2 linked regions of the Lonchura striata genome follow. The protein of the gene in region 2 interacts with the protein of the main gene of each other region in a biochemical or structural test. Links are inferred from orthologs where the notes say so. Each region holds a gene or a part of one and is shown on either strand. Other genes may lie near its edges.

Region 1 (7,889 bases), on a different chromosome or scaffold from region 2:
GCTCCCCGGCCTCGATGGGCACTGGGCTACCGGAGCAAAGCGGGTGGTTGCTCCGGGCTGTGCCAGCTGGCCAGGTCGAGGGCACCGAGCTCGTCCCACAGTGCCGGGATGGGAGCGCCCGGCTCACCCCGGCAGTGCCCTCCCACCCCCGCGGGGCTCAGCTCTGCTCCTTGAAGGGCAGGGAGAGCCCAGGCTGAGCTCCTGGAGCCCCCGAGCCCCTAATCCCCGGTAATCCTGGAGGAAAGCGCTGGCTGTGGGGATTAGGGATGTAAACAGCCATCCTCACCTGCCTGCCCCTGCCTGCCCCTGCTTGGACCCCCGAATACAGGGTCGAGGTGGCCACCGGTGCTCTCTGAGGCTGTGTTGAGCCTGTGGTGGTTATTTATGGGAATAAAGGGAATGTAGAGCCAATCTGGACACGGCCTGGGTCTATAACGTCCGAGGGAAAGAGATTCCAGGCAGTGATAAGGTTGGGGACAAGGCTGAGATAGTCCCTGTGGAGTCACAAAGCTTCAATCAGAGCCTGACTGGGGCCGGATCTATCTTTTCCTCCTGGGGAATTACCACTGGCTTTTTTCATTGGCAGGGAAACTGAGGCAAGTGAGGAGAAGCTCATGAGAGGGATGTGCTGGGAATGCATGTGACCTCGCCAGCCCCCTGGCTTGGAGTGAATTTGAGGTGGGACAAGGACAGTGCTGAGGAGCAGCTGGGCCGGGAGACTGAAATTTGGGGGAGGGCTGAGCTCTGCCAGCTGCTCGCCACGGGGAGCAGCCGCCGCGGCCAAGGCTCCCCCGGCCCCTTTCATGCCGGAACACGAGCGCTCGCTCCGGGCAACCCCGCCCGCGGTGCCAGCATCCTCCCTGCCCTCAGGGACACGGGGACACAGCCGCGTGCCACTGCCACTCACATGGGCTCGGGGCCGGGGGCATCCCGGGGAGATGCTGCCATCCTTGAGGTGGGATGGGGGTGGGGATGGGGAGAGGGGCACGGCCAGCCTGGGTGCCTGGGTCCCTTTGCCAGCCCACCAGGCAGGGGCAGGATGGCTCAGCAGCCCCGGGAAGGGCTTCGGGAGGGGGAGGCAGGCTGGGATTTTGCAGCGGGAACTCTGGGAGACTGGGACTTGGTGACCCCGGCTCAGTGCAGTCACCAGTCCCTGGTCCCCAGCAGGTGATGTGGGACGTGTGGTGCTGGGGTGTTTTCCCAGTACCTAACACCCCCTAAGTGGTGCCCAGTGTTCCCAAGAGCCAGTGGCTGGTGTGGAGCCTCCTGCGCAGTACCTGCAGTGCAATGCCTGGTGCTGGTGACACTGCCAGGAGGTCACTCACTGTCACGGGGACCATTCCCTCTCACCTGCGCCACTAACTGGTGCTGGGGCCTCGTACCCACTGCCTGCACTGGGCCCTGCCAATGCCCGGCACCCAGTACTGGCGCCCTGTCCCTGGTACTGGTGCCCTGTCCCTGCTGCAGTGTTTTGTTCCTGGCGCTGGTGCCCCAGGGCTGCTGCTGGAGCCCTGTGCCTGGTGCTGCTGCCCTGTGCCACTACCTGGTGCCACAGTGCAGTTCCCGGTGCCCAGTGAGTGCTGCCAGAGCCGTGCACGGTGCCCGGCCCCAGTGCCAAAGCGAGTGCCCGGTGCCGGTGCCAGGTATTGATGCCCGAGCCGAATGCCAGGGCTGGATGCTGATGCCCAGTGCCCGGTGTCGGTACCCAGTGCGTGGTGCCGGTGCCCGGTGTGCGGTGTCTGGTCCCGGTGCCCGGTGCACATTGCTCGGTGCCGGTGCCGACGCCGAGCGCTGCTGCTGCCTGTACCCGTGAGCAGTGCGCGGCGCCGGGCGCTGCTGCCGGTGCCGGTGCCGGGGCCGGTGCCGGTGCCGGTGCCCGGTGCCGGTGCCGGTGATGCCGAGCGGCCGCCCCGCCCGCCCCCCCGCCCGCCCCGCCCCGGGGCCGCCCCCGCCCCCGCCGCTGCTATTTCTGCTAATCCGCCGGGGCCCGGCCGTGCCCATCGGCAGCCGCCGCTCCCGGACGGCGCCCGGCGCCGCAGCCATGGTAAGGCCGGGCGGACGTGGAGCGGCCCGGGCCGGGCTGCCCCGCACCGCCCCGCTCCCGCAGCCCGCTGCCCTCCGTGAAGGTGACGGTGAGCGGGGGCGGAGCGGACCGGGGCCGCCGGTGCCGCAGCGGAGCGCGGGGGGGACGCGGGCGGCGGGGCAGCACCTGCCCGGTGCGGAGAGCGGCAGCCCCGGGGGAGGCGGGGTCCCTTACCGGGGCAGCGCTCGGGAGCGTCACCTGCGTGTCACCCCGTCCTGCGCTCCCCCCACGCGTGTCCGTGCGCGGACAGCGGGAGCCGCTCTGGTGCGGTTCCGCGCCGAGCATCGGTTCCCAGCTCTTGGCAGGTCCCCGGGCTGCGGCGCTGCTGGCACTGCCGGCCTGGCCGGGCCCTCGGCCGGGACCGTCACACGCAGGGAGCCGGCCCGGTACTCACCGGCAAGGTCCGGAGCCGCCGCTGCCATTCCCACCCGCGGGAGCTTGTTCTGCATCTCCCGTCCTGCCTCGCTCCTCCGCGGTGGTGGCAGGTTCCCAGGAGCCGCCCGGCCGGGCCACGTCTCCGCGGGGACCTGGGGCTGTGTCCGGGCTCGGGATGAGGACGGAGGGCTGCGTGGCACCGGCTGGTGGCCGCTGGGCAGGCGGCCTCGGTGGGGAGCGCTGCGGCCGCGCTGCCCCGGCAGCCGCCGTGGGAACCAGCCCGGCACATTCCTCCGGAGCTGGATGCAGGGAAAGCAGGGAGGAGGGCGGCTGGCGGAGCGTGTCGCAGCCGAGCGCCTTCCCGACAGGCTCCAGACTGTGGCTGTGGGATGCACACAGCAGCCTCCGGAACATCGCGGGGGACAGCGGTCACAGCTGGGGACTTCCTCACCCACGCACGTGGGGAGAGTTGGGGCTGGAGGTGCTCCAGAAGGACCCACAGAGGCAGAGCCGCTGCCCCTGCCACCAGTGCCACATCCCTCTGTCCCCAGGGCAGTTCCCAGCTGGCCCGGAGGAGCAGCATCAGCACTGGTCCCCCCTCCCGGGCCTCTGCTCCCGGCTCGGAGTGGGTCAGACCTTGCCCGGCCCCACGCGCTGAGGTGTCACCTGGTTTTCAGCCTGGACAGGCCTCGCTGTCATGCCCTGGCTCACAGGGAGCCATGGTCCCATCCTGGGGTCCCCACTCAGGTGCTCACAGGCCCTTAAAGCTGGAGGATTCCCTGCGGGAGAGGGACTGCAGCTGCTGCACCCAGGGCTGTGGCTCCCATCCCCAGTGCTCGCCTGCCCGGTGCTGACCCCCTGCCCAGAGCCTGCCCCCATCCTTGGGGTGCCCAGCACCCTGCTCCTCTCGGAGCTGCCGGGAGACTCAATTTCCCGTCTGGAATGCTGCTGATGGGTGGGATGGCAGAGCTGGGGGTCCCCTGATTCTGCAGCGGGAGCATCCCGTGTATCCAGAGGCGGGGCCGAGCAGGCAGAGCCCAGATCCCGTCTCCCTGGTCCTGGCAGCGCTGAGCTTTTGCTGGGGGCTTGTCCTGCGCAGGGCTCGTGTTTTTGGGAGAGCTTTTGTGCCTGGAATAGTCAGTCGTGGTGACACCGTGGCTGTGCCGCGGGTGGCATTCTGGGTGTCACCTTTAGAGGGCTTGGGAAGGCCTCTGTCGGCCTGGCGGTAGGGACAGCACCTCGCCGGGATGTTCCCTTCCTTTCCCTGCAGACGCGGAGGCGGAAAACACCTCCCGTGGGAATGTGGTACCTGTGGAACGATGCTCAGGGGCAGCCGGTGGCTTTGTGAGGTCAGGCTGCCCCCGTGTCCCCCCTCGGGCTGTCACCGCGCGGGGACGGTGTGATGCGGGGTGACAGGGGGGACGAGGCTGCGTGTGCGGGTATCGCTGGGGCTGCGGGGCCGCTGTGAGGCCGGCTCACACTCAGCCGCGTGTGTAATCTTCTTACGGGGGCACCGGCACTGCCCCGGGCTCTCGCTGCCGTAAATCCCCGCTCCTGCCGGGAGTGCGGGCTGGGAAAGTGGCCGAGAGAGCCTGGATCGCGCCTGAGCTGCTCTGATGCATCTCGACACGCATCAAGGTGAATCACCATCCCTGCTGACCCCGAAGTGACAGCTGGGGAATCCTGACTGCCACCCACGGCTCCTCCTGGGGCACTGTTAACCCTTCCCCTCCCAGGGATGAGCCGGCAAAGTCGAGGCAGGAATGTCGGAGCTTTTGCCTGAGATCCCCGTGGTGGGCAGCGTAGCTGCTTCTCCCAGGCCAGGGCTGGTCCTTCCTAGCCAGGCCCAGTTCGAGCAAGAGCTTGAAGCCACTTGGGGGAGCTTTAAGTGTCAGGTGCAAAAGTGTGGGAAAACTGGGTTTCTGACCTCAAAGAGGCTGTGGAGCCCTGCTGGGGGATGCTCCAGATGGGCAGTGGGAGTGGACGTGGTGTGCACTGGGATGGAGAGGAATTTTATCCTGGGACAGAGGGAGTTTTGTCCCAGGATGGAGCGGGTTAGGGTTAGGGTTAGGGTTTTGTCCTGGGACAGAGGCATTCCCGACGATTGAGCATCCTCCTGGGCTGTAGCCAATCTGTGTGTTCAGCCCAGGGTGCTGGTGGTCCTGCAGCCCACCCAGGACCTCCCTTGGCTGATGACAGCTGGTCCTTGAAACCTTCACGGCCGGGCAGGAGCTGGCTGTGGCTCTGCCAGGGGTCCCTCTCCCCCGCCGTGCCCCTCGCAGGGGCCGTGCCTGGCTCCTGGGTGCCCGGCGGGACCTGCCCAGGGTGGAGTTATGCTAATGCTGCTCCCCAGCCCTCGCCGCGGCCGGTGCCACTCGGCATCTTCTGCTGGCCACGGGCGACGCTGGCTGTGCCATGGCCACCTGCCCCGAGCTGCAGCCTGGGCAAGAGGTACGGGGGCAGCGCCGGTCCCCGGCGGGGCGAGAGAGGGGGTGGGGGGCACGGAGCACCCCGGTTCTGCGGGAAGGTGCCGCAGCTGATCCTCCGTCCCTGGGACAGCCCTGCCAGGGGCCGCGCTTGCTGCAGGACCCCCAGGGATGCAGCGCGAACCTCGGTGCCGCGGCACTGCCGAAGTCATCGGCTTCGCCGGGGGTGGGAGATGAGGGCGAGCCCCAAAGGGCTGCAGCCCCGAGGGATGGAGCGGCAGGCTGGAGGCGCTCGCCGCCGCTGGTGGCATCACCTCCCATCCCCGAGTGTCCCCGGCCGGGCTGCGCTGGGGCTGGCGCTGAGACCCCCAGGTCAAGGGCGGGGAGGAAGAGGATGCTGCGGTCACACAGACCCACCGAGCACTCGGGACCCGCTGGGGCAGCGGGGAGCACGGGGGTCCCACCTGTGCCCCCCAGCCTGGCGCCGTGGTCCCCGCGCTGTGGCCGCGGGGCAGCGGGAGCGGGGCCGGGCGTGCGGGCGCCGAGGCCGGGCAGCGCCGTGACCTTGTTTCCAGCCCGCTGATTCCGAGCATCTCCCCTCGCCGCCGGCACCGCCAGCGAGCGGGGACACGGCGCAGGGGAGGACACTTGTCCCCATGGAGGGACCTCGCCTCGACGCCCCGCTCTGGGGGGGCACTCCCCCAGCTGGGAGCCCGCAGGGTCACGGCTCCCCCGGCCGCTGCGTGCCTCTTGTTTGGGGCTGGGGTCGCCTGGCAGCTGCCTTGGGGCCTTGGGGACGTTGGTGCCTGCTGGCAGCAGGGCTTGGTCCCACGGGAGCCGCTGCCGGACGCGCCCTTGGGAACGCATCTCCTCCCGCCAGCGCTTGTAAACAGGATGTGGAGCCATCGTCCCTCGTCCCAGCCCCGCCGCCCCACGGGCAGCTCTGCCCGTCCCCCCAGCCCCCCGGGAAGAGCCAGGGGTAGGGGATGGCGGGGTCCTGGTCATGTCCCCTGCCCTGGTTTTCTCCCGGGACTGCGGGGACGGGGGCCCCTGTGGTGACACCCCGCAGTGGGCGGGGGGCATGGGCACCAGGGGACCCCTGCCCCCCATCTGCCTTCCCCCGGCTGCAGCCCCGCTCAGGCCACCCTCCAACCGCTCTTCATCTCTTCTTGGTGTCTCTGCCTCCTTCCGGCCCCCTCCCGGCCCTCCTGGCAGGCCATGGGGCGCGGGGCGGTCCTGGCTGCCCCAGAAGACCCCGAGGAGCGGCGGGGTGCCCAGGGGGAAGGTGCCTACCCCTGTCCCCAGGAGTGCCAGGAGCTGGCTGCCATCCCCACGGCACAAGTCGTAAGAGCCCGAGGTGCACGGGACCACGGCTGTCCCCGCTGCCATCCCCATGGCTGTACCCACGGCTGTCCCCAGGGTGGTGGCTGCTCCCGTGGGGTGGCCGTGTCCCGTCTCTCCTCCCATCCCCGCCACCTTTAGGGTGCATGTGTCCGGCTGCTGCGGCTTGGGGGGTCGTGAGGCTGAGCTGGGTGGTGCCACGTCGGGCTGGCACTGCCACCACCAGTGTCACCTCCTCCCTTGGTCCCCAGATAAAACGTTTCCTGAAGGAGGACTCGGACGAGGCTGAGCTGAGCCAGTTCCTGCGGGATTGCCCACCAGCTGACAGCTCCAGGAAGGTGGAGGCCCCGGAGAGCCGGCGGGAGCCTGGCCAGCCCCTGGGCAGCGTGGCCAGGGTCCCCCCAGACGAAGCCAGTGACGAGAGGGACTCCAGGATTTTCTCCCGCTCCCGGCCCTCGGATTTCCAGCAGCACATTGCCGCCCCCCCGCCCCCCAGCCCCAACCGCCCGCGGAGCCCCTGGGGACAGCTGGACCCCTACGACTCCTCCGAGGTGCAGGATGTGTCCCTGGGGAGGGGGGACACACACGTGGCGTGAGGGGCTGCGGGACGGAGGGTGTTGCCATCTTGTGAACACAAATGGGCAGGCATGGCCGCATCCCCTGGAACTGCAACCCTGGAAATCCCTTGGCGGGTAGGGGGAAGCGAAGCGGGGGCTTTTCAGCATAGGAAGTGGGCTGGTGGTGTCCCTGTCCCATGTCCCCTGTGCCCTCTGCAGGATGACAAGGAGTACGTGGGCTTTGCCACGCTGCCCAACCAGGTGCATCGCAAGTCTGTGAAGAAGGGCTTTGACTTCACCCTCATGGTGGCAGGTACGGGGCTCCAGCCGGCCTGGGGGTGCTGGCCCCCCTTTGCATCCCAAACACCCTGCACTGGGGAGGGGGATCCTGGCTGCTCCCTCATCTTTGTCCTGCTTTCTCAGGGGAATCGGGGCTGGGCAAGTCCACCCTGGTCAACAGCCTCTTCCTGACGGACATGTACAGGGACCGCAAGCTGCTCAACGCTGAAGGTCAGGGGGACAGTCACGCTCCACAGGGGTGTCCTGGGTGACCAGGGCGGTGGCAGAGCCCTGGGATGCTCCTGGGGGCTGCAGCCCCTCTCCCTGGCCAGGCAGGCTCCCCTGAAATGACATGTGCTGTTTTGCCAGCTGCCCACTGGCACTAGGGATCGCTCTGAGGCAGTGGGGAGCCCCCTGCACAGGATGGGGACCTCCCACAGGGACTTTATTTCCACAGGGAAAACAAGCCCTGGCTTGCTGGGGATTGGCTGGAGCTGCAGCATTTCTGGGAGGCTGGGGACAGTCAGGGCGTGGGGCAGAGTGCCAGTTCAGCTGCAGCCAATTTTTGAATTAAAATGGCCCAAACTTGCCCAAATCCCCAGGAGTTCGAGGGGTTTGTTTGATTTGTTTCCGTTGCTTGGAGTGAAAGCCAAAACACACAATGCAGCATCCTTGGGGATGCAGGGACATGGAGGGTCCTGGGGTGAAGGGGCACGTGCAGCCTGGAGCTGTGGGGTCACCTGAAATGCTCCTGCAGCAAGGCCCAGCCCCAGCAGACCCCTGTGCTGCCTGAGCTGGGGTCCTGGGCTGGCAGTGGCACCACCACCA
Region 2 (7,799 bases):
AATGGGACACATTCACAAACACTTCTGCCCTTCTCAGTTGCAGTTTGGGCCCTCCCATCAGTTAGATCAGTGAAACTGAGAAACCTGGCAGAAAACTGGTCAAAACCCAAATCTCCAGCCACCTCTGCAAGTTGAAGCACTTACTAGGAGGCCACAGAGGCACCCTGCTGACTGAAGACAAGGTACAAGCCCTCCTTTCCAGTAACAAGCTGAGTGATTAGTTCATCTAGTCTTAGCTGAGTGCATGAAATTAAAATCAAAACAGTTGCACCTTCACAAGACACAATCTGGTAAGTGTTCATTTGACTTATTACTCTGACCTGGTAGCTCATTGCTGCAAGCTTATGATGGAGGACTTCCCCTGCTCTACTAAAACCTACATCTCTTCATCTGAAAGTAAAACTGTCAAAAATATTTTTAAAAAAACACAAAATTACTTTTGAAAACCACAGTTTCAAAATTAAATTTATTTTGGACTATGATGGGATAGATTCTGAAACAGTGTGAACAAGTTTGCATGGCAGAGGCAGCACCGGAACTGAGACCTCCCAACTTGTACACCACGTCCTATAACCTCCATTTCACTCCCACATGGGGATTAAAGCAGTAATTATCACAAAGTGCATGTGCCTGCTAGCATTTAAGTATATGCATAACTCAACTGATGCAGGTAGTTCTTTAGCTGAGATAAAGTACAATCAAGTGCATTTTGCAGATAGGATGGCACAACTAAACCAAACTCTCTTTTGCTGATTCTCAGCCCTTCACTTGCATGAGCAATGTTACAGTGTTGAGTTAAAGTAACGACCAAGCTACAAGCGCCTGAAAGATCAATTCCCAAAATTTCACATTCACAGAATGTTAAGCTTCTTCAGTTTACCCTGAGGCTTAACATAGTGTATGAACTGCCAGGCAGGTACTCTATTAAAGCCCTCCATCCATGCTAAAGGCTCCTTGATGCGTTGAATCTCTCACAAAACAAGGTAAGGTACCAGTTACTATGTAACTTATAAATGCCCATGTGGGCTGCAGTCATAGATCAGCATCTTCTTGTGGAAATAATTTTCCTTCAAACACAGCACACACAAGTAGGTCTACAAGGAGTCCAGACTGAGCAGCGTAAGTCATCACACTTGGATTCCAACTTCATTTGCACACCAGTATCTGGCAGTAGCAAATAAATGAATATATTTTAATAAAGTGTACTTAGAGACAGATCTGAACTTGAAACTACCACATTTGTGTATTTTTATTAGATACTATTACACGTCAGTAGCTTAATTAATTAAATCCAAAGCTTGTACAGTTTTGACCGATGTCTCTGAACAATGTCTTGGAAGCAAATGGTCACTGCTGCATTACTAATTAACATTATGACACTCTTAAGACATAAAATCCTTACCTTCTGATTTCTGGATAGCACTGTTAAATCATGACAAGTTGATCACATAATCAAAAATATCACACCATTGAAAAAAATAAAATACAAAAAAAACCCAAAACAAAAAAAAAAAGTATAATTATCTTAGAGTATCCATTATTAATCCTAGTAGATTAATAAATTCTAGTAGAAGTTGAAATGCCAAATTGAAAGAAAGCATTTTCTTCTCTCAATATAGTTTCATATTCCCCCAAAACATAGAAATGTGTTCTCATTTAGGTAACTACTGCCAAAATACTATCTCAACTGATCTAGCCAGATCCTGTAAGCCATTTCATACTCCAGCAAGTAAATATTTTTCCATAAGAACTAATCTTTTTTAGCAATTATGAAGGGTTTTTATCCCCCTAAAATGCCTACCAAAAACCTTCTAAATTTTTGTAATTCTTCTATTTGCTAGTAATGTCAGTTTTGCCATTCTGTAGCATCCTTCCCCTCCCCACTTTTCTAACATCATTTTAATGAATTGTCCTCACTTTCAACCACAAAGACCAAGGGTAAACTTACACCTAGACGTAATTTTTATTCTTGGGCATACTCGTATTAGACAAATAATTCAATAAAAATAAGTAGTGTTATTGCATTTATTCCCTTTTTACTTTAATGCTTAAAAACACTTCATGTGTTTCATTCTGAAATGATAGCATCCCAGCTGCGTTTTCCTCTAGTTAATCAGAAGATAGGAAGTTTTGGAAAAAGAAACAAAAAGTTACACACTGAAGACTCTCCCATTAAAGCTGTCTTCCTAAAAAAGTTCTCTAAATATTGTCTACATGCATATACTTTAGATTCCAGAAAATAAGTTCATGCATATTTCTCAAATTTCTAAAGCTACCACTGCAAAACCTGACAACTGTTATCCAGACACAATTACATTTCTTTTAAAACATATGGCCTCATCTGCAAATTGCTCTTTAAGTCACGCCTGGAACACCATTTAAGCAGTCTTCCAAATGAAGTGCAAGTACCACAAATACAAGAATCTAGCTAATCATTTTGTTTTATTGGTCCCACAGCAGATGAACACTCTCCTCCCACCCTGTTAAAGAAGTCCTGCTCTGAGGGGAGAGAACAATCCTAGAAGGTTTTATCATGGTCACAAGCCATGTAAGTTGCCTCTTACAAAGCTCAGAGAGCTGGGAACCCAGTGAGAACAGTGCAGTTGCCATTACGTGATCAGCTGTGAAATGTCTGTTCTCCTGCAAACTCCACCAGCCTCTCAACATGTTCAGCTTGTGTACTAACACAAATAATGGCTCCAGCATGATTCAAACTAAAAATTACACGGCTATAAAGGGGGCCCCCTTCACTACAAAATGGTGGCTCTGGAAAGAACAGTGTTTTGTGCCGGGATTCTCTACATTCTCTAATCTCCAACCCACTGCCATTTCCCCTCATGCACAAAGAAAATTCATTGCCAAAGCTGCACAAGCTTTCAGAAAACACGAACAAAAGAAAATAAAATGAGTGATTATCAGGAAGTGTTTCTCTAAGTGATCCCTGCAACATTCATATTTAAAACTGAAAAATTTAAAATTTTGTTGTTTCTTACAACAAAAAGCAAAAGCACATGGAAGAATTAAAATAAAAGCGCATAAAAAACATATAGCTAGTGCAAAGAACACCCCTGTTAAGCTAACAGAGAAACATGAAATGACCAAACTGGTGAAGCGCCCTTTGAAGAGCTGTACTCCTGAAACACAACATTTAGTGAACTTGCCACATAAAGATGGCTTAAAACAAACACAGGCCCACAATGGAAAGCTCCTGGCACACCTGGATTAGTTTGAGAGGTGGCAACCGAACCCCTCCGTGAACAAACGTTACTTTGTGGAATAGAACAGGAGTGACTACCTAACCGTACTCTGCCTGGATCAAAGAATACAGGGCCAGTCCCACCGGAATCGGTAAAAAAGCGGGAACGGGGGCTGAGGCCTCTGCCAGAAAGGTCAGTACTGTAGAGCAGCGACACAGGCACGCTTCGGGGTCCGCATTACCTCGGGGGGCGGCTGAAGATGAGCCCGACCCCCGCCAAGCCCGGCCCGGAGCTGGATGGGGCGCTCGGGGCGCCGGCACAGCCGGGCCCAGCTACGGCGGCCGGGCGTCGGCGGAGGGCGGCAGCACCCGGCCGGACCCGACGGGAGAGCGGCCCAGGCCCTCCTCCCGACCACGGCTTCGACCCCACGTCCAGCAGCAAGGACGCAGCCCCGGCCGAAGGCCTCTGCGCCGCCCCCCAGCCTCCCCGGGCCGCCGAGGCCCTCGCCCCCCTCTCGCAGGCCGCAGCGCCCATCCCTCCCCACGGCGAGGCCCCGCACTCACAACTCGCTCTTGCCGCCTTTCTCCCAGTTCTTTATCCACTCGGCCGGGAGCAGCGCCGCCATCTTCCCCGTGCAGCGCCGAGGGCCCGGATGGAGCAGCGGCGGCGCCGGGTCAGAGGGGACGGACGGGCCGCGAGAAACCGCGGGACGCGGCCGCGCCGAGCGGGGAGGCGGCGGGGCGGACTGCGCCTGCGCGCGGGGGCCGCGGGGCGGTGCCACGCCCGCGCGCGTGCGTTAGAACCGCGGGGCGGGGCGGGGCGCCTCGCGCGCGTGCGCGCTGAAGTCCCGGGGGCGTCGGGCTCCGCGGGCGCGCGTTAGGGACGCGTGGTGCTGGGGGCGTGCGCGCGCGCGCGCGCATTAGAGCCGCGTGGTTTTGTGTGTGCGTGCGCGCGTTAGAGCCGCGTGGTTGTGTGTGTGTGTGTGTGTGTGTGTGTGTGTGTGTGTGTGTGTGCGCGTGTGCGCGCGTTAGAACCGCGTAGTGGTTTGTGTGTGCGTGTGCGCGTTAGATCCGCATGGTTGTGCGTGTGTGTGTGCGGTTAGAGCCGCGTGGTGGTGTGATGGTGTGCGCTGGTTAGAGCCGTGTGCCGGTCTGTGTGCGCGGGTTAGAGCCGTGTGCCGGTCTGTGTGTCCTGGTTACAGCTGTATGCCGGTCTGTGTGTCCGGGCTACAGCCGTGTGCCGGTCTGTGTGTCCTGGTTACAGCCGTGTGCCGGTCTGTGTGTCCTGGTTACAGCCGTGTGTCAGTCTGTGTCTGTGTGTCCTGGTTACAGCCATGTGTCAGTCTGTGTCTGTGTGTCCGGGTTACAGCCGTGTGTCGGTCTGTGTGTCCTGGTTACAGCCATGTGTCGGTCCGTGTCTGTGTGTCCTGGTTACAGCCGTGTGCCGGTCTGTGTCTGTGTGTCCTGGTTACAGCCGTGTGTCGGTCCGTGTCCGCGTTAGAGCCGCGGCGCGCGCGCGTTGGAGGCGTGGGGCGGGTGCCCGCGCGTGGCGCGTGCGTCGGTGCAGCGGGCGCATGTGCGCACGCGCGGTGCGGGTGCGCGTGAGGCGCCGCCGGCCCCGAGCACGGCGGAGCGGCGAGATGTCTGCTCGGAGAGAGGGCGAGAATGGTAAATCGTTTGAATAAATAGGCGGTTAAAAAGGGATTGTGTAAAGCTTGCTATGACACGTCTAAATGGTCCTTCCGATACAAGCACTTAGGACAAGCAGTTGTATGGACCTCGTATTCCGCGTGTCGCCCCTAATGCGTGTGCCTATTTTATTACATGTCGCTTGTCTCCATTAAGTTTCTGCAAGTTGTTCTGTGTTCCCTTCAGTTGCTAATTGGGATATTAGGGTTAAAACACTCCATTTGGTCGGGTAGCAAATGTTTTTAGTCAGACATTTCTCTTTCCTCTCAAGCCACCTACGTTCTCAGTCTTGTACATGCTTCCTCCTCTACAGTAGTGTCAATTGTTTCACAAATACAATGAAACTTCAGCAAATGGGGAAATTGAAATAAAATCTAAAGGTGAGGCCCCACAGCCCCTGTGCCGTTATCGGTGCCAGCACTGCTGTGCTCGCTGCCTTGTTCTCCACTCTGAACTGAAACGTGCAGCTTGCTTGTTTTATATATATATATATATATATAGGTGTAACAGCTTTCCACTCGCAAAATAGCTCTGATCAGGAAGTCTAGCATTTCAGCAAATCTACATAATTCTGCCTGAGACAGGGACTGGTGTTGTTTCAGTTACCATTCTCAGCCAGTTTCTGCGAGCTGTGCAGAATATTGTGCAGAAGGCTGCTTATGAACAACGCCTACTTCAAGGGGATCCCTTACAACCCTAAACTCTGCAGTAACACAAGGAGTAAAGGAGGCAGATTCTCTGCTTCTCATACTTATATTTTAATTATATGGAGACCACATTCCAGGCATACTATATGCAGTGTAATAGAAGATACACTCAGTTTACAAATGCCTAATCTATTTCTGATAGATTATTTTTAAAATAAAAATTCAATAAATATATTGAAAACATATGTATAAATGATAAGCATAGAATTGCAGGCCCGAGGAATAAAATGAGAGGGTGTTATAAGCAAATGCAATAAGTCTATTTAGAAGATAAGCCTAAGAGTCACATAAACAGAAAACAAGAATCTAACAAAATATATTAGGTGCAAGGATGTATGTAGGAATAGTTATGTAAGGTCTGAAGATAAAAATTTGAGATTTTGCCTTCATGATGAGGAGGAAGAGGCAGTCATGGAGAAATGCAGTAGAATAAAGCCATCAAATCATTGCAGGACCAACAGATTAATTCCCAAGTTTACTTAAGGAATTTAAACCTCTTATTTCTTGAAGTATATTAGTAACGGACTGGGACAGGCTGAAAATAAAAGACAGTACATGCAATGCAGAAATACACATGACAGAACCAGTTTTAAAATCTACTCTGAGAAGAGTCTTGATTCCACAGCATTTCTATAGTACTATACAAAACCTTTAGTGGTTATTTAACATAACATTTAATATTTATATAAAATACATTCTCCTTAATTAATATGGATTCTATATATGACATATAAGCTCTAAAACATAGACATTGCATTTTGTATTGCATAAAGTAATGTAGGCAAAGCAAAATATTTTTAAAATAAGTATGTACCAATTCCTTCTCAGAATGACGTATTTTTGACACAGAGTAGTCTGTTCCACACTATAAAGTCATATTCAGTTCTGACTTATCCTTGCTTTTGTGGTGGACATCTCTAGATAGTGAAATGTCTTTCTCCGTAGCACTTGATGTTAGCTGAACTGGGAGGAATTCCTAGGTTAAAAAATAAGACTTATATTTTAGTTCTGTAAAACAGCCTTTATAGTTCATTCTTCATCTTTTCATGAGGCTTTTATTTGCTAGAAAAAGCATCCTGGGCATCCTCAGATTTGTATCAATAAGTCAGAGAACCTTGTTAAAAGCCAGGACAATTTTGTGTTTCTGTTGTTTCAACAGGTTTACATTTACCTTTCTAAATAATGGAATAAAATAAAATGTTGAAAAGAAGGAAGAATGATGCCTGCAAATGCAGGATATGTCACAGCACAATCTTAAATCACCTACTGTGCTTCCTGCCTGAATAAAGAAGTGCTCTGAAGGCTTTGTCCGAGCTACATTAAAGGAAATGCCTCTGTCACCACTATGGTAACAGCTGGATAGCAGCAGGAAGTTATTTAACTGAACAGTAAATACAAGGTTTTCAAGGCTGTAGTACATTATCCAGCAAATACATAGCTAAAAAAATATCAGTGGTAATTGGATCTTATAAAAATGTATTTATTCTTGGTTTTCAAAATAAGTACTACAGCCATCTATTGGGAGAGCTGGAAATGTACAAAAGCAAAAGAAATAAAACATCCAACAGCTCTTTTCCTCTGTATTAACCAGTTCCATTATTCATGTGACAAGGCACAACTTTATTATCTGCTTTGAGGGTTAAACAATTGAGTGCTTTACTTTTTCTGCACAGACAATTAAGAATTACTTTTTGGAAGAAATTATTTTTTTATTATTTGGCTTTAGTATCATGTCCACGTAAGAATTAATTGTTCTAAATTCCCCTTTTTCTTTTAACAGTAATTGTTTCATGATTGTACCAGTTCTTTTTCTGTAGACATTTCCTAAATTCTCACACAGAAAAAATAAAGGTACAAAGGAGGCATGAGTTCACATTGTTAAGATGATTTCCATTTGGTAAAAGCTGTTTAGGCAAGTAAGAATCTTAAACATTAGCTAATACTGGCTGTTTCCATTCATCTGGACAGCTGAAATGAGAAACATTCTTAGACAGTGATTGTCAAATACATCTTGCAACTTTTTGGTTTTTTCATAGCTAAACTCAGTGTCATTGCATCATCCTGAGCTATAAAATGTCCCAGATTTAATGAAGATCACACCATTATGGAGAGCTTTGCTTATTTTCAGCTCACAGAAATCAGCATTCTTTCACTCAGAGTTGTTTGCTTTTCTTACCACTTGGCAGCACAGGCAAGAGCCAACTGTA

What was found.
Region 1: the proteins of XIAP (region 2) and SEPTIN4 form a complex in vitro, tested with the Homo sapiens proteins (4 studies listed by BioGRID, with this or other methods). The link is inferred for Lonchura striata from reciprocal best matches to the Homo sapiens genes XIAP and SEPTIN4.

Annotation. Positions count from the first base shown.
Region 1 is NC_134622.1:1,508,770-1,516,658, forward strand, and holds the start of SEPTIN4 (septin-4), read left to right. Parts: upstream 1-4,813; 5' UTR 4,814-4,873; coding exon 4,874-4,909; intron 4,910-6,476; coding exon 6,477-6,776; intron 6,777-7,001; coding exon 7,002-7,095; intron 7,096-7,205; coding exon 7,206-7,292; intron 7,293-7,889. UniProt on the Homo sapiens protein: Filament-forming cytoskeletal GTPase. Pro-apoptotic protein involved in LGR5-positive intestinal stem cell and Paneth cell expansion in the intestines, via its interaction with XIAP. May also play a role in the regulation of cell fate in the intestine.
Region 2 is NC_134616.1:9,795,341-9,803,139, forward strand, and holds the start of XIAP (E3 ubiquitin-protein ligase XIAP), read left to right. Parts: upstream 1-4,779; 5' UTR 4,780-4,864; intron 4,865-7,799. Other genes in the region: THOC2 (THO complex subunit 2), read right to left, coding at 3,761-3,822.